Alligator mississippiensis: one gene and its partner. The main gene of each other region encodes a partner of the protein of the gene in region 2 in a complex. Links are inferred from orthologs where the notes say so. Each region holds a gene or a part of one and is shown on either strand. Other genes may lie near its edges. The genes, in order: CNN1 and PRKG1.

Region 1 (8,295 bases), on a different chromosome or scaffold from region 2:
CTGCCAGTCACCACCCCTTGTCCCTCCCCCCCATGGCATTGCCCACTTACCTTGTGCCAGTTCTGTGTGGACTCATTCACCTTGCGTACAGAGCCCGGCTGTAGCTTGTTGATGAGTCTGTGGACAGGTGGAGGCTGAAATGTGACTGCTTCCGAGGAGGGCGCAGGCAGTCACTATAGCACAGCTGGGGAATGGTGCCTCCCAGTGGTGCCCCTCCCCCCTCCCCAAGCACCACCCCCCCAGCTCTCACTCGCACAGGATGACACCGTCCTTCAGCCCCTCCATGAAGTTGTCCCCGATGCGCCGGCCCGTCATTGCCTCAATCCAGGCCCGTAGCTCCTGCTCCCTCAAGGGGTCATACTTCTGGGCCAACTGGTGGGAGGGACAGGGGTCAGAGGTCAGCCTGGCCCCCCATTGCACTGAGAGTGAACCCCTTTGCACCCTGCCAGCCTGGGCTGTTGTGCCTGTGGGGGACACTAGACTCCATATGCCCCCCCATGGGATTCTTCACCCTCCCCCAAAAGTGACAGCCTAGGGCTGACTGGTTTATGAGCCCGCAGTGCCTACGGGGCATCAGGGGGTAAGGCTCCCATGCCTGGTGCCAGGATGATCCTTGGCATGGCTGAGATGTAGCCAGCTCCAGGCTAGGACAAGGTCTGAGGCTGTTTGAAAGGTGGGGGTGTCCAAGATGGACCTGAACATCTGGGTTCCCATCCCCTTCTGCCCTGTAGAGGTCAGGCCTCCACTGCACCTGTTCCCAGCTGCCTGCCTGCCCAGGCTTGAAACCGGACCTGGTCCACTGTCTGTAGGGCTTAGGGGAATGTTTCCTCACTAACAAGCTGCTAGCACTGCGCTGGGGCCTTGCCTGATCCCAGCTGAGACCAGTGCTGCTCATGTCACCTCCCACCCTGAGAGAAGCATTGCTGGGTTGGGGGTGCAGCTCAAGGATGCCTTGGTTCTCATTCCCCTCTCCCCACCTCGGCTACAGCCCTGGCATCCCGTAGACACTCCTGGGGATTCCTGTTGCTCTGTGCCCAAAGCCCCCTGGGTCTGGCACCAGGTGGGGAAACTGAGGTACAGAAGCGGAGCTGGGTAGGCCAGCCTCGCCCCTTTCCTCTCCCCCTCCTGGTGCTTGGTGCCAGGGCTGCCTGCCAAAGCAAGCAGCAGGCGCTGGGTGGGAGGAATTCACCAAACTAGGGAGAAAAATGGGGCTGGAGACTTGGCCCTAGGTGCAAGGGGCGGGGGAGGGAGTCATAGGAACTGGGGGGGAGGGGGTGATAGACCCTGCTGTTTGGTACCCCCTACCCCTAGCTCTGCTCCCCTGCAAAGCCTCTCCACCCCAGGCAGCCCCACCTTGCCCATGCGGTTGCCTGTCCTGCCCCCCTCCAAACTGGGTGTCCCCCCCCCCCCCAGCAGTGCTGGGGAATGGGTGAATCATTGCTGGGGCTGATGGGGTGGGGGTGGGGGGGTTCATTCCCTGCTTTGGGAGGGTAGTAGGATGGGGGGGAGGTAAGAGCAGGTGGGGTTGGGAGCCCAGACAGCTGGGTTCTCTCCCTGCTCTGGGAGGGGAGCTCTCATGGGGACTCCGGATGCCTGGGTTCCATCCCAGCGCACAGTGCTGCTTCCTTGATGGCGGGGTGGGAAGCGGGCTGATCTCTTTAGGCCTTGGTTTCCCCGGTTACATCCACGGGGCCTTGGCACAGCGAAGGCCTGGGCTGCCACTTCCCCAGAGCACATACAGATCCCAGACATCCAGGCTTCCCACACCCTGCTCTAACCCTTGCGCTCCACTGTCCACCTAGAGCTGGGAGAGAACCCAGGTGTCCAGGCTCCCAGCCTCACCTGCTTTCACCTGCCAGGCCCCCACTCCCTTCCCAGAGCTGGGGAGAACCTAGGTATTAAGCTTCCAGGGACACCCCCCTGCTCTAACACCCCAGTCCCCACCTCCTCCCAGAATCAAGATCCCAGGCGTCCAAGCTCTCAGCCCCCACTGCTCTCAACCCTCCCACTGAGAACAAACACCTGCCCACATCTGGCTGGGGGAGGTTAGGGGGAGTCACTGTACCCCCACTAGGGGGTCCCTCAGTTTCCTGGGGGGGGGTCAGAGCAGGGCCCTGGCCAGCTGGCAGGGGCGCTAGGGGCGGGGGTGTCCTGCGCCAGGGTCTGAATGTGGCTCCAGGCCTTATATAGCATCTCCCTGCGCCACAGAGATTCCCCAAAGCCGGCCTTATATGGGCAGCAGCTCCAGCAGGAATCTGGATGGGGGGGGCACTGGGGGGACTGGGGGGGACTGGGGGAGGGGGAGCCAGGCAGCCAGAGCTGGGGGGAGCAGGGGTCAGGGGGGTGAGGGGGTCACTGGCAAAGCACTGGGCATGGCTGGTGTGAGGGCTGCGAGTGTACATGTGTGTGCACACGTGTGTGTGTGTGTTAAACCCTCGCTGGACCCACCACATGGGCAGGATGGTAGCATCCCGCCAGGGGTGGGGATGGGCTGGGGGGCACTGAGGGCCCATTGTGGGGGGGAGGCTCAGTCCATCTGTCTGTCAGCACTTGGTCAGCTCCAGCCAGTCCTCACTATCCCACTCCCACCACTCCACTGCTGGCTGCGCCCACCCCAGAGGTGGCTGCATTCTGTCCTGGTGTGCCGGGGGGGGGGAGAAAGAGTGAATGGATAACACAGGCCCTGACCTCTGACCCCTGACTTCTGATTTGCCCCACATTATCACCAATGGGGACACTGAGGCAAGGGGTAGGGAGGGGCCAGTCACCACTGAGACAGACCCAGGCATCCTGACCTGCCATTTCCCCAGACTCAGCTGCAGCAAGGCCCTGCCCCACCTGGGGTAAATGGGGTGAGATGCCTCCACTGTGGGTTAGTCCCATAGAGGGGGAGGGGATGAATCCTCTCAGGGGTGCCAAGCTGCCCCCAAACCCCTCAGCCAGGGGACCCCAGGGGGGTCTGCCCCATGTCCATCCTGGCGGTGCCCCCAAACTGCACTGTGGTGCTTTAAGAGTGAACAGGCCCAATCCTCAGGCCCTGGGACCAGTCTGAGCTGGGACCTGCCACCACCCCAGCCTGCCCCCCCCCCACTGCCCCATGTACCCCAGTATCATCTCCCAGGCCCCATGTGCCCCCCCAGGGCCCTGCTGGGGGAAGCAGCACCCCAGGCCAGTCCTGGGGCCCTACCTTGCTCTTGACTTCGGCGGAGAGCCCATAGGCTGGGCCACGGACGAAGTGGGCGCTGGACATGCTGCTGTCTGGACCTGCTCTGCCCAGCTGCTGCTCGTCTGCTGCCCCAGCCCTTAAGACCCCGGCTGGGCCCGGCCACCCCCACCCAACCCCCGCTCCCCTCCCCGCAAGCTGGGGGCGGGGCTCCCCCCCAGCTGATCTCAGCCCCCTGGTATTAGCAGGATGGTGTCACTTTTTCCAAGGTGGGGGGGCAGGCCTGGGCGGGCAGAGGGGGGGCAAGGTGCTCCCTTGCCCCCCAGCCCCCCTCCTGCTCCCGCCATCCCTGCTCTCTCCCCTGCTGTCTGTTCCTCTCCCTCGCTTTCCCTTCTCCTCCCTCCCATGCTCCCCTCTTGCTCCTCCTCTTCTCTCTTCCTCCCTCCCAGCTTCCTCAACTCCTGTCTTCTCCAGCCCCCGGGGGGCTACCCTGGGGTCCTCTCTTTCCCAGCCCCCCATACTTATCAAGTAGCCACCTGGGCTGTAGGGCACCTGGGTTCTCCCACCCACTCACCATGCCCTCACTCAGGCTGTGGGGGGGTGGGGGGGGTCACTGCCCCCTGCCTCAGTTTCCCCATGGAGTAGGGGCCTTGTGGAGAGGCAAGGGGGGTTAGGAGCAAGGCCCTCCCCCCTCGGCCGACATAAGCCCATACCCCTTCATTGCACTGGACTGCGCTGAATCAGCCCCGATAGGAAGAGTGGGATGTGCTTGTGTTCCCCACTCCCCCAAGAAGAGTCCAGGAGAGGATGGGGCCAGGACAGAAGTGAGCCAGGGGCCAGGAATTGGGGGGCATGCTGCATGAAGGGGCTGGAGACCCAGCAAACTTGTCTCATGCCAGGTTGGGGGGAGCTGTTCAGCAGCACCCCCCCAATCTCAGCTCTCCCCTCTCTACAGTAGTAGAGCCTGGGGCTGGGAGCCAGACCCCCAGAGCCAGAACCCAGGAGTCCTGACCCCCAGGTCCTCCGGCTTTGATCGCAGGCCTCCCCACTACCCCCCAACAGCTGATGATAGAAGCCAGGCATCCCGGCTCCCAAGACCCCCTGCTCTAGTCCCATGCATTCCACCCCCACTCCCAGAGCTAGTTGGAACCCAGGTGTTCAGGCTTCCAGCCCCCACCTCCTATTTGGAGCTGTGGAGAGGCCCCAGGCCCCCTCCCCAGAACTGTAACCACTAGATCCCCGTCTCTGGAGAGCCCAGGCGTCCTAGCCAAGCTCCGCCCCCAGCCTTGGGCTCTGTTGCCTTATAAGTCCGGCTCCCTCCTGGCCCTGGCACGCCATAAATCTGGGGGTGGAGGGAAACGGGAATGGAGCCCGCGGGCCGGGCCGGGCCAACCCGGGGGGCTTTGCGGTGCCAGGTCCATACAGCGCCGTATGGCCCACTCGCGGCGTGCTCAGGACACGCCCCTCCTCAACCAAACCACGCCCATCACACAACAAGCCACGCCCCCAGTTCCGTCCCCTGCCGCCAGGGGGCGTGCACGGCTTATTAGCATCTGGTGATTTATTCATGAGGGGGGAACACCCCTAAAGTGAGATCACAGCCCAGCCTCTCCCTTCCTCCCTGATGACGCGACGGTGACGTAGGGGGGCTCCCTACGCCGTGCACCATGGCCATGTATAGCCCCCTTGGCGATCAGTGGTGACGTCATCGCCCGCATATGCCGGGGACCCCCGGGGTCGGCCCCGCCCCGCCCCCTGCACCATCGTGGGGGGAGGGGGGGGAGTGAGACATGGTCCACGCAGGATCGAGGCCTGGGGCGTGGGGTGCACATCCCCCGGGGGGGGGGGAAACTGAGGCAGGGAGAGACCTGACCAATTCAAGGACCCAGCCAGGATCGGGGCCCCTCCCGCCAGGATCGATACTCCCGGCCCCGGAGCAGAGGAGGTCCCAGGGAAGGCACTGATGAAAGCCAGGGCTGCTACCCTGTAGGCGGGGAAATTGAGGCACGCAGCCTGGCAGAGGGGCACGAGGCTGGTGCAGTGGCACGACGGGGGCGGTGGTAGGCTCCCCCGAGCTACTTTTTCTGCACGGCTCCCGCAGCTGGAAGGGATCGAGGGAGGGCCACACGGGCCGAGATGCCCCTGGGGGTCAATTCCAATTTAGTTGCCCCCTGGGGAGGTAATCCCAGCCCAGATGCCTGGGAGGGTAAATCCAGCCTAGAAGGCCCAGGGGGGGAGCACTTCCAGCCCCGATACCCCTGAGGAGTAATTCCAATTCAGAGTTTCCTGGGGGGAGCAGTTCATGCTCCTAGAGGGGTAATTCCAGCCCAGATGCCCTCAGGGGGGTAATTCCAATCCAGATTTCCCGGGGGGGGGGACAGTTTTAGCCAGATGCCCCCCACTAGGGGTAATTCCAACTCAACTCAGGTGCTCCCAGGGGCAATTCCAGTTTAGACGCCCCCAGGCTCCGCGGATGCTGGTCCGGGTCATTGCGGGGGGTGGGGGGGGGAAGGGTGGCGCGAGGGTCCCCGGTCAGAGCTGCTTGCGGGGCGCGTGGCAGGCGCGGTAGACGCCCCGCAGGATGCGGTACATCCAGACCAGGTTGAGGACCTCCAGGGCCAGGCTGGGACCGATCCAGGCGGCCTGCACGGCCGGGCCCAGGCGGGCGTACTCGGGCGTGCCGTGCCAGGCCAGCACGCGGGCGTAGTAGGTGGGGATGACTGCGATGCGCACAGAGAAGAAGGCCACGGCCATGGCCACCCCGTTGGCCCGCACCGGCCCCGAACCCCGCGGCCACCCTGCCGCCTCCAGGAACCACCTGCCACAACGGGGGCTCTGTCACTTTAAGAAGACCCGCCCCCTCCTCCGCGCCAGGGGATTGGCTGAGGAGAAAGGGGGCGGGGTTTCGCTGTCTGAATTTGCTGAGAGCCTGCGCCTGGTGCTGGGGGAGAGAAGTGACTCCCCCAGACTGGAGCGAGGTCCGCCCAGGGGCAGCAGAGCTGGGGAGGGGGCTGTAGGACGGGCCAGGCCAGATGCCCCCAAACTCACCGCAGGTTTACGAAGGGGGTCGAAAGCTCGGAGAGGAGGCGGAAATTGGCGAAATACGGTAACACCCCGCGGTTCTGGAGGTGAAGGACACCGTCAGCCCCTGCCCAGCCCCTCCAGGACCCGGTACCTCTCGCTCCCAACCCACAGCCCCCCACGGGCTGAAACGTGCCTCTCACTCCCGACCAGCAGCCCGCTGCTCCCTTCCCTCTGCCCCAGCCGGTGACACTCACTCCTGACCCGCAGCCCTTCCCCCCCACACTGACCAGCACGTAGCCGTAGGCGTACAGCGCCGCCACGTGGTGACACACGAAGAGCGCGTCTCCCATCGTCTTCCAGTAGCGGCCGAGAAGCAGCAGGTCTAGGGGCGGGAGTGAGAAGGAGGGGTCACCCCCCTGGGTCTAGCCCTTGCAAACACCCCCGGCTGCTCTGGGGTCCGGAGGGGGGGCTCAGACCTGCTTCAGAGGGGGGGACCCCTCAGCTCCAAGGGGTGGGGGGGGGGGCACGTACCATAGAGCAAGTAGCCGCTGATGATGGCCACGTTCAGCTTCACTAGGCGGGGGTCGCCCCTGCGGGCACAGGATGGGGGGGGGTGAGCTCATGGACGGCAGCTCGCAGGGACCGACAGTACACCCCCTGGAGTCCCAGCTTCCCCCTCAATGCCAGGCCCCTGCCCCCCCCCCCCTTCCGTCCTCCCCCCCGGTCAACTCCGGCCGCGGGAACAAGGAGCTCTTTCTTTCCCAGCACAAAACGGCTCTTCATGCCCGCGGTGCCATGTGACGCCCGCCCCCCGCCCAGGCCTGGCACCTCCTCCCACGCTCCCCACCTTCTTGCCACGGCTGGCAGAGAGGGCCTGGGAAAGCTGCCCGGCTCGGGGACTTGGCTGCGGTTACAGAGCGAGGGGCTGCGGGTCGGGAGTGAGGGGCACTGGCAAGGCTGGGGGGGGGCAGGGGGCTGCAGACCGGGAGTGAGGGGCATTACCAGGGCTGGGGGGGTCTGCGAGGCGGGAATGAGGGGCACTGGGGGGCGGGGGGGGGGGTCTCACCATATAGGATCCGCGTTCACGGCCGCGTCGTACCAGAGGATGTAGAGGCAGAAGCTCCCGACCAGCAGCGCGTGGAGAGTGGACACGCACCTGGGGGCAGCGCGGGGATGTCACGGACAGACAGGTCACCCCCGCGACATCCCTTGACGTTCGGGCCCAGGGAGCCCGGACACCTGGGTTCTCTACTGGCTCCGGGGGCCCGATCCTGGCCGGGGGAGGGGCGGTACCTGGAGTCCCACTCGATGCGGCGGGCGGGGGGCAGCGCGCAGTACGGGGGGCAGAGCGCCAGCGACAGCCGGGGGCTCACGGCCGAGAAGCAGAACTGGAAGCCCACGAAGCTGGCGGCCACCACGCAGTAGCCGAAACGAGTGGAGTCCTCCATGGCGGGGGGCCTGTGGGGGCCCGCGTCAGCGCCGACCGGCGGGGCCCCTCACTCCTGACTCGCAGCCCCGCGGGACCCCTCACTCCCAACCTGCAGCACCCTCTTTAGAGCTGTTGATGCCCCTCACTCCGGACCCGTAGCCGCCCCCACCCCCGACGGTCCCTGGCTCTCGCTCTCCCGGGCAGCCGGAGCCGCGGTGTCCCCAGGGCAGCGGCAGCGCCGCGGAGATGCCAGCCTTGCCCGGGTGGGGGGCGGGGACCTCCTGGGACCAGGGCCCAACTGGCGCCCAGCCCGGTGCTGCCCCCTCCCTCCCCCGGACCTCAGCCCCCTCCTCGGCTTGGGGAAAGGACCCAGAAGCCCTCGGCCTCAGCCCCACCCCGCCCTCTACCCCTTTCTCCCAGCTCGGGGCAGAACCCAGGAGTCCGGGCTCCCAGACCCCCACGTGCTCCCAGCCGCCCAGAGGACCCAGGGTCCTCCCAGCCCTGCATCGCTGTCACCGAGACCCGGCGACCCTTGTCCGGCCACGTGTGCGGGGTTGAGCGGAGATAATCCCCCGGGAGCAAAGGCCACGGCTGCGGGGCGGGGCGGGGGGGGGTTGGGAGCCCGGACGCCTGGGTCCCACCCGGTGACGTGACTTGCCCCAGGCGGGCTATTGCCACA
Region 2 (9,053 bases):
TTATGTAAAACCCTGGCAGTAGCTGCTGAACACAGTGAATTAAATCTCTTCGTGCTGACTCTCATGACTACATCAGAATTGCTTATAACCTTGTACACAACGTGATCCTTAAGTACCGGGGAGACATTTTTTTTGTCGACTCTGAACAACACTTTCTATCTCAGTTCTGTTTTTTGAAAGCAGGGGTACTAAACTTGACATGATTTCACAAGCTGCCGAAAGCCTTGGAATTAACATATTTAAAACTAATATGAAATGCATGTGTGGGTTTCATAGATTTAAAACAGGGCTGATGCTAAGGCATCACAAACCAGGGGGTCTATAGGAAGGTGGGTGACATTGAACTGCAACAGGGGACGGTAAATAATCAATGACCCGATTTCTCATTTAAGCTCCTTTCATTTCCTGTTAAATGCTACTCCAGGGCACTACTTTCCAAGAAGGATCAATTCTGTGAGTCCACAGCTCCCTTGCACATTTCCAGATCAGTTCTGCAGCTCCCAGTCCCTCCATCCGGCTGCAGTAAGAAAGGAACTTGTATTTTCATTTGATTGCTCTGCAAACTGTTCTTTTTCATGGGGGTAAGTCAGTCTTCAAAAGCTTTTCAAGAGAAAAGCCCACGCAAACCAAAAGGAAGGCCCTGACCACGTGTCATGACAAGCTACAAGGACTGCCCTGTTTCACATGCCTGCATGGAAAAAGAGCTACTACAAGAAGCGGCTTAACAACAAACCAAGTTATGAAAAAGAAATCCCTCCCCTCCTTCCGCCAGTCGCTAATACCGCTAGGAAAATGTCAGCCATAAACATCAGATTTGACTTAATGAGGTCCCTTCTCGCCTTCCAGCCTATGTATGACTAGTTCGAGCAGCAAAAAGCCATCTCCCAAGCAAGGGATCCCAAGCCTTAACTCTTAATGAGACAAATTTGACGACTCTAGATGAGACAAATGTGTTTGGGCACACAAAATAATTAAAAAGAACATTAGGCAGGCACTGATCTGAATCTAATAGAAAAAGGATATACAATTATGTTTATTGCTAGCAAATGGCACTTCAGCTAGGAGATTTTGCTCATCCACACCACTTCTTACCTTACGGTATGAAGAATATCCTAATTCTGAGTGTTCAGCTGTAAAACACTTACACTCAACACAAAATGCATTTATTTTCAACCTGACTGGTTCTGAGATCATCATGCTGATAAGAAATGAAGCTGCTCCTGATGTGTTTTGATGTAAGAAGTGAATTAAAAAGTATACAAGCTTTTTCATGATGATTGAACCAAATACATCAAGGTTTATTGGGTAGCTATAGAGATAATTAAGTAGTGTGGGGGATGTGATATTCCTTGTGTTTTAATGGAGAAAACCATATCAGTTTGCATAGTCTTTGATGGGAAGTGTAAAACCAGGACAGACTTATTTAAAAGCTTTAAAAAAGAGATTTCTTACAAACTTTCCCTTCACCCTTTCTTCTGGGGACAAGCAACATATAGTTGCAGAAAGATAGCCGTGCAGGGCTTTTCCCCCCTGAAAAGCTCCCAACCAGCAGGGTGGAGAGGACACAACAACTGTGGGAGAAAGGGTGTTGCTTAGACCGTGAATGCGATGAAAACACCGCACAGGTTTCCAGCCTCGAGATCTTCCCTCTGGGCTGGTCCCTAGTTGAACCGAACTTCAGCCAAGAAGGAAATCCCCACAGCTGCCCGGGGCTCCTCAGCTCTACCTCCCCAGTCACTCCACATCCCCCTGCCTGCCAAGCTGTGGATCACTTCCAGCAGGACTTGGAGGGAGTCTGAAGACAAGCTCTATCTTGTGTAGACTGATCCTTGCTCACCCCACTCTTGCCTCCTCATTCTCCTTCCTACTACAATCAATCGCCTGATGCCTATTACTCCAGAGCCCTCCATAAGACCTAATGACGGGCTCCAGGGCTATAAACTGTCCGCACACCTGGCCGTTGTCTGCCTTCCCCACCCTCTCTCCAAACTTGGGGAGTAGAGAAGGCCTCGTCCCTCAACAGGTGTTCGCCCAAAAAACCCAAGCGATTTCCCTGAGGCGGTGTGGAGCCGGGGCAGGAGCCGCGGGCTCTGCTGGCTGGACGCCCCCGCCCGGCCGCCGGCTTTCCCTCCCCCGGGAGCGGCTCCTCACCCCGGCCGGGAAGGGCACAAGGCTGAGGCCGCCCGAGGCGCCAAAGAGAAGATGTTTTTTCCGCCCGGGGACGCAGGAGGGCGGCCGCAAGGTGTCAGCTGCCAGATGACAGCGCTCAGCTACGCACACAAGGGATGGCGGGTGGGAGACGGAGCAGCCGGCGAGGAAACAAGCTGCAGCCGCGCTCCCGGAGCAGGGCACCGCGGGGCTCCGCTCGCCCATTGTTTCAAAGCGCGCCGGGCTCTTCCCGCAGGCTCGAGGCTGAGCTGTGAGGCCCGGAGGACGGTGTGTGCAAGCGGGCAGGGAGCAGCAGCTCTAGCCCGGCTCCCCCTGCCCTGCCCCGCGACCCCGGGGGGACCCCGAGCCGCGGCCCCGCGGGAGCGCACAGCACGGCCCCGCCGCGCCGGGACGAGGAGCGGGAGGAAAGGCGAGAGGCGCAGGAGGCAGCAGCAATGCGGAAACACACAGGGCACGAGACAGACAGGGCAGCCCCCGGAGCGGCCCGCAGCGTTACCCGCGGGCTCAGCCGCGGGCAGGAGAACAGACACGGCAAGCGGGAGGTGCAGGGACTCGCCTGGACAAGTGGATGGACAGACAATACAGACCACTGAAGGACCAAAGACAGGATGCCAGATGCACACAACGCTTAACCCCTGCTTACTGTGGGCTCTTGGGGTAGAAGGGAAGGGTGACATGGCTGAGGTCCTGGATGTCAAAGGCGGTGGGCTCGGCGGAGATCGCCTGCCGCTTGGTCCGCTGCTCGCCCTGCAAGGTGCCGGAGCCCTGCTGCTGCGCCTGCTGCGTGGCGGGCCGGATCACGGAGCGGTACTTGTCCAGCTCGTTCTGCAGCTTCTGGATCAGCTCGTCCTTCTGATCCAACTCCAGCTCCAGCTCGTCGATGAGAGCATCCCGCTGCCTCAGCTCCTCGATCTTCTCCTGCAGCGCGTACTGTAAATCCCGCAAAGTGCCCATGCTCCTCCTCGGCCCGCCGGCTCCTGCCTCGGAGCCTGGCTCGTCCGCTGCGCTCCCGGCAACTTTCCCCCAAGTGGCCGCTGCCTCCCACTTCGGCCAACTTTGCCGATCGCTCCGGATCGACCTGCCGCCGGCAAATGCCGCTCGCCCCTGAAGCACGCCCCCAGCCCCCAGCCGGCAGCCTGCGCCGAGCCGCGCCACGCCGCGCCGCGCCGAGCAGAGCCGCGCCGCGCCGCGCCGCGCCGGGGTGACTTGGCCGCGCTCCGCGCTCGGTTATGGGAGGAGGATTAGAGGCATAATCCGAAAGGGAAACCCAGCGGCGCCACTCCGCTGAAGGCTGGGGCGTGAAAGGTGATTTCGATCTGCCTGCGTCAGGCTAAGACTGGAGAGAGGCACACACTCACCGAGGGGGAGGGGGCACGGAGGAAAGGGGCGTCTGCAGGATGCCGTAGCACATGCACTTTCCCTCTGCCTCTGGCACCGGGGGGGCCGCTCCGGGGCCAGCGCAGCCGAGCCGAGCCGAGCTCCAGCCCGCGGCGGAGGGGCAGACCCTGCCGCTCACAGCTCGGGCTTTCAGGCGAGGCGCAGCATTTCACATGTGCCTGCCTTGCCCCTGGAAACCGGCCACGAACCACGATCTCCGCTGCCCCCACGGTCCTCTTCACACGCCCCCGCTTTGCCTGGGCATCCCCGGCCGGCTTTGCACTCCTGTCTGTTTACTCCTTAAGTCTCCGTCAGGAAAACCAGGCAACAAGCACTGCTAGGGAGCAAAGCCTTCGAGTTCCAGTGATCTGGGGGGAGCTGAAGCCCTAGGGTGCAGACATACACAAGCACAAGCTTTGCTCCTGTGGTGGGAAGCTCAACAGGGCAAGCCCAGCTTCCTCCAACTCTACCCGGTGTGTGGGGAGCAGGGAGGACCTCCTGCCCCACCAAAGGAAAGCCTGGCAGCCCCTGCCCCAGGCACAGTGAAACTCTGGTCTGGAACATAGCACTGGACCCCACAGGCACAGTCCCACCCCTAAAGCCAAAAAGCAGGCATGTCACACATCCTGGTTACAGGGTGCTTCCAAACCAGATGTCATCTTAATGCTACTGAACTGGACCAGTTCTGACAGTAATCACCCAAATAAACACTGCTTGAAGAAAGAACATGGCTAGCTGCTCCCAGGGTGCAAGCCCCAAGTATCTCAATTAGATACATCCGACAACAAAGGCATCAAAATGGCATCTGTACCAAAATCCTGCAGATCCAGATTTACTTAGTTCCTATCTTTCCTATTTCACTAGCTCGGTAGAGAATGAGTATCTTTCTACTTCACCGAACAGTGCAAACCCAACCAAATCCTGGCTGAACACCACTTACAATTCCTTGGTTTTACCAATTTTCAAGAGCCATCATACAATTTCAGTTGTCCCGTAAAAATAAAAAATCCTGTCTGGAAGAGGAATCCTACTTACTCCTGGCAAGTGTTGGTCCCTTTTCCCCTTTGCCTTCCTCCCCTCCCCCATACTGTAATCTAAATAACAAAACACATGCAACTACTTCCAGAGAAAAATCCCTATACTGGTACACTGGTACGCTGGCTTAAACTGCTCCATCCAGGTGCACATTTGGATTTATCAAGCATGATTTATCAAACATGCATGTGCTAGGACGAAGCACTAACATTTGATTTCTACACTTAGGCAATAGAAGGGGCCTGGTCCAGCAACATCCAGGTGCCAAATAAGTGTTTTTCTTATGGCTTGCACAGGATGTGTCAAAGCACAGGTTTTTCTGTTGTAGAAGGGAAAGTGTTTTGACTGTACAATTAGTGGTTTGGCACCATAAAACAGCAAAATGCAGCAGAACTTAAGTGCTGGCTGTGTGAAACAGGAGTGGTTATACTTGTTTTCTGTTTGGATTATATAGCTTTGGGGGGTGGGATAAATACTGCTATAGTCCAGCTGCGTCCAGGTGCTAGATATGGGGTTTTGCTGTGTTCATGGATAGCTGAAGTTAACATGTTTTCAGTGCATTAGGAATGCCTGTTTCTGCTCTTCTTTCAGGCATTAAGAACCCAAGAAATGAGAAGCTAAAGCTGACAGGGGCAGGATATAAGAAATGGATTTTTGCAGAACTCATGCACTGGTCTGAATCAGGATTCAAAAGGGTTTTTTTTATGGAGTGGAGTGTCTAATTTTGTTCTCTGCTTTTATAGTACAGTTTAGTGCTTTTGGGTGAAAATGGACAAGGCTCAGTTAGATTCAACTTATATATTATTCTACTCCTAAATACCGATATTTGACTCACTTCAGAGCCTCAGCTTTCCACCTACAAATGAAGTTCTTTATAATATTGATGGAAATGAATAACTGAAAAAACATGACAAATTCCTTATTGAATACTATGTTTAAAAGGATTTGGATCATTAATATTTTCTGACCCATCTTCTAGGATGTACTTGATATATTTCTTCAAAGCACATTAAAAACAGTTACACATTTTTTAAATGCATTTCAGTTTAAAATGCCACAGTTGAAAGTCTTGCCACATGTGTGTTAGGCATAAGAGACATAATATTACTAGAGACAAGGATTTCTTAGGGTGATATCTTTTACTGGACCAACTGCATAGTTGGGGTAGAGTCAGATAAGCTTTTTAGAGAAAGACATTCTCAAATCTGGTTGACAAAGAATGTCTTGCATTTTAAAGCTTGTCTAATTATCCCAGTTCTGAGGCCGGTCCAATAAAAGGTATCACCCTCAGAAATACTAACTTATTTCTTAATTCCTGGGCCATCACAGTGACAAAATCATTCTAACACTACCATAATTTTGCTGATCTTTTCAAAACATGGACATTTTAAGTGCTTTAACTTCAGAACCTCTTTCTCCATCTATTTCCCCCACTTAAACACAGTCGGCCCGATTTACTCTCTCAACATTCCTGCTTTAAAGATGAGTAAGGCAGATGCAATCTTGAAGCATACAGTATAGAATCCAATGTTAAAACAAATGTAGTATCTGTTCCCTTCTTTCAATAAACACACTTAATTTTTCATTGTGTGGTTTTCACAGAAACACGGTGTGATAAAGAAAAGGTGACCAAACGCCGGACATGAGAGCAAGTTATGCTCGCGGCGTAGGGAAAGCAGCGGGGTGCAGCCTAATAGCAGCGCGATTGGTGCATGCAGCAAAATCCCCGGCTTATGCAGCCCGTTGAGCGCGCGAAAAAAGACCTGATTCCATTGGCTATTGGGGCAGTATAAAAGGCAGACCCCGCGAAAAAGAAGGCGGGACCTACACAATATCTGAGAGGCTTGATCACCCTCACCGAGGTCCTGCGTCCACGGCTCCTTTCCCCCCCCGGACGCCCCCATATTGGTTAATTGCATCTTTTGGATGCGAGAAGAGCTCTCGGGTTCCCTACAGTTTGTTTTGTTTTTGGAAGTTATTGTAAAAGGGAACTGCCGGCGCGGAATTGTGAACAGAGCATTTATGTGCTCCACGGTGTAACTCTTACTGAAGGTGCCTACACTCTGTACATCAACAGCGCGAGTCCGTGTACTTCAGTAGTGTGAGTAAAGTATTCATTTGTTATTTTGCCTTCGGATTCTTCTTGGGCGGGAAGAGTAAAGAAAAAGGGAAACAAGATTCCAAACCCTTTCATCCCCGGCCTGCTCGGATCCAGGGGTTAATCAATCACCCCCCCGTATCTGTACCACACACAGAATCATAAAAATTAGGATTGGAAAGGACCTCAGGAGGCATGTAGTCCAACCCACTGCTCAAAGCAGGACCAGCCCCAACTAGCTCATCCCAGCCATGTCTAGCCGAGCCTTAAAAACCTCCAACTACAGAGATTCCAACACCTCTCTAGGTAACCTATTCCAGTGTCTTACTACCTTCCTAGTGAGAGAGTTTTTCCTAATATCTAACCTAAACTTCCCTTACTGCAACTTGAGACCATTGTTCCTTATTGTGTCATCTGCCACCACTGAAAACAGTCCAGCTCCATCCTTTTTGGGACCACTCTTCAGGTAGCTCAAGACTGCTATTAAATCCTCTCCGTCTCCTCTTCTCCAGACTAAATAAGCCCAGCTCCCTCAGACTTTCCTCAGAAGTCATGTGCCCCATCCCCCTAAGCATTTTCATTGTCCTCTGCTTGACTCTCTTCAATATGTCCACATCCTTCCTGCAGTGGTGGACCCGAAACTGGACACAGTACTCCAGATTTGGTCTCACTGGTGCCAAATAAAGGGGGAAAATCACTTTCCTCAATATGTTGGCAATTTTCCTACTAATGCAGCTCAGTATGCCACTTGCTTTCTGTGCAACAAAGGCATGCTGTTGGCTCATATTCAGCTTATTGTCCACTGTAACCCCGAGGTCCTTTTCTGCAGAGCTGCTACTTAGCCAATTGATCCCCAGCCTGCAATGGTACATGGGATTCTTCTGTCCTAAGTGCAGGACTTTGCACGTGTTCTTATTGAACCTCGTGAGATTTATTTTGGGCTGATCCTCCAATTTGTCTAGGTCTCTGAATCCTATCCCTACCCTCCAACCTATCTACTATCCCCCCCCCCCCCCCCCCCAGCTAGGTGTCATCTGCAAACTTCCTGAGGGTGCACTTTATTCCATCTTCCTGGTCATTGATGAAGATGTAGAATAAAACTAGCCCCAGGACACTCCACTTTATTACTGGATGCCATCTGGCATCAAGCCATTGAGTACTACCTTCTAAACCTGGTGATCCAGCCAGTTTTCTATCCACCTTACAGTTCATTCATCCAACCCATACTTCCTTAGCTTGCTTGCAGGAATATGTGGGAGACCATGTCAAAATCTTTGCTAAAGTCAAGGCATATCGCGTCCACTGCTCTTCCTGTATCCACAGAGCCAGTCATCTCATCATAGAAGGCAATCAGGTTGGTCAGGCATGACTCACCCTTGGTGAATCCATGCTGACTGTTCCTAAATATTTATGCATAGATGAACAAGACAGTATTTCAGATGACTAACTGCCACCCTGCACAACTTTTGAATAAAAATAAACAAATAATAAGACAATACTATTTAGATTTTCTCAAATTCATGTCTTAGGTGTGAAAACTTATACAATACTTGTAAAAAATAAAAACTCCATAAATTGTCCCAGCAGTAATGCTAGCAAAAAGGTAAACAGTCAGGACAGGTATGCTTTATGAAGCATCATGCACACTTATGATACTCTAGAACAAATAATTGACAATACTTATTCTAAAACTCTGCATCTTCAGTTTACTGTACCCCAGGAATTACTTCTCAGTTTCATAAGCTATAATAATAAATGAGATCATTACTTTAAAAGATTTTTAATATAATCTGAAATTATGGATAAAAATGAGAGATTCTAATGGTCCCCATTACAACACTAAGATCCAATGACAGTTTTTGAGTGAAAAATTACAATATATTGGATTTGTTTGTGTGTATTTAAACAAAATTCACATATATTTTATATAACCATTAGATAAAGAATCCAAAGATTTCCACAAACAGCCAAATATGTCATAAGACTTAACATATTTGCCTATTAGCACGTCTTCTACTGTCCCCAGTTGACCACAGGGCAATTGTGAAATCAATACATTTCTTACATTTCCTCCTCTTGCTCGTATTACTGCTCTTATTACATTAACTTGTTTGTATTCTCAGTAACAATTCTGTGTTTGGGATATCTACAGTACTACCCCATTAAAATAAATAAATAAAAAAGTTAAGCCCAATTCTCCACACCTTCTCCACCTATTAATTTAACAATATGTTGCTTGCTCTTCCAGTTGAGGAATCCTTCGTAAGTACTGGTTATCAAGCCCCACATTACATAGTAAACTATATCAGCACATTAAGGCAGCAGTTCTCAACCTTGCTTGTAGCCAGACCCATTTGTACACATCAATGGTCAG

What was found.
Region 1: PRKG1 (region 2) and CNN1 share a complex: the UniProt entries of both Homo sapiens proteins name them as parts of the cGMP kinase signaling complex. The link is inferred for Alligator mississippiensis from reciprocal best matches to the Homo sapiens genes PRKG1 and CNN1.

Annotation. Positions count from the first base shown.
Region 1 is NC_081831.1:22,524,149-22,532,443, reverse strand, and holds the start of CNN1 (calponin-1), read right to left. Parts: upstream 3,322-8,295; 5' UTR 3,251-3,321; coding exon 3,188-3,250; intron 373-3,187; coding exon 251-372; intron 118-250; coding exon 51-117; intron 1-50. Other genes in the region: TLC domain-containing protein 4, read right to left, coding at 5,696-5,981, 6,212-6,285, 6,475-6,569, 6,719-6,777, 7,254-7,343, 7,481-7,635. UniProt on the Homo sapiens protein: Thin filament-associated protein that is implicated in the regulation and modulation of smooth muscle contraction. It is capable of binding to actin, calmodulin and tropomyosin. The interaction of calponin with actin inhibits the actomyosin Mg-ATPase activity.
Region 2 is NC_081829.1:65,210,376-65,219,428, forward strand, and holds the start of PRKG1 (cGMP-dependent protein kinase 1), read right to left. Parts: upstream 3,642-9,053; 5' UTR 3,124-3,641; coding exon 2,813-3,123; intron 1-2,812. UniProt on the Homo sapiens protein: Serine/threonine protein kinase that acts as a key mediator of the nitric oxide (NO)/cGMP signaling pathway. GMP binding activates PRKG1, which phosphorylates serines and threonines on many cellular proteins.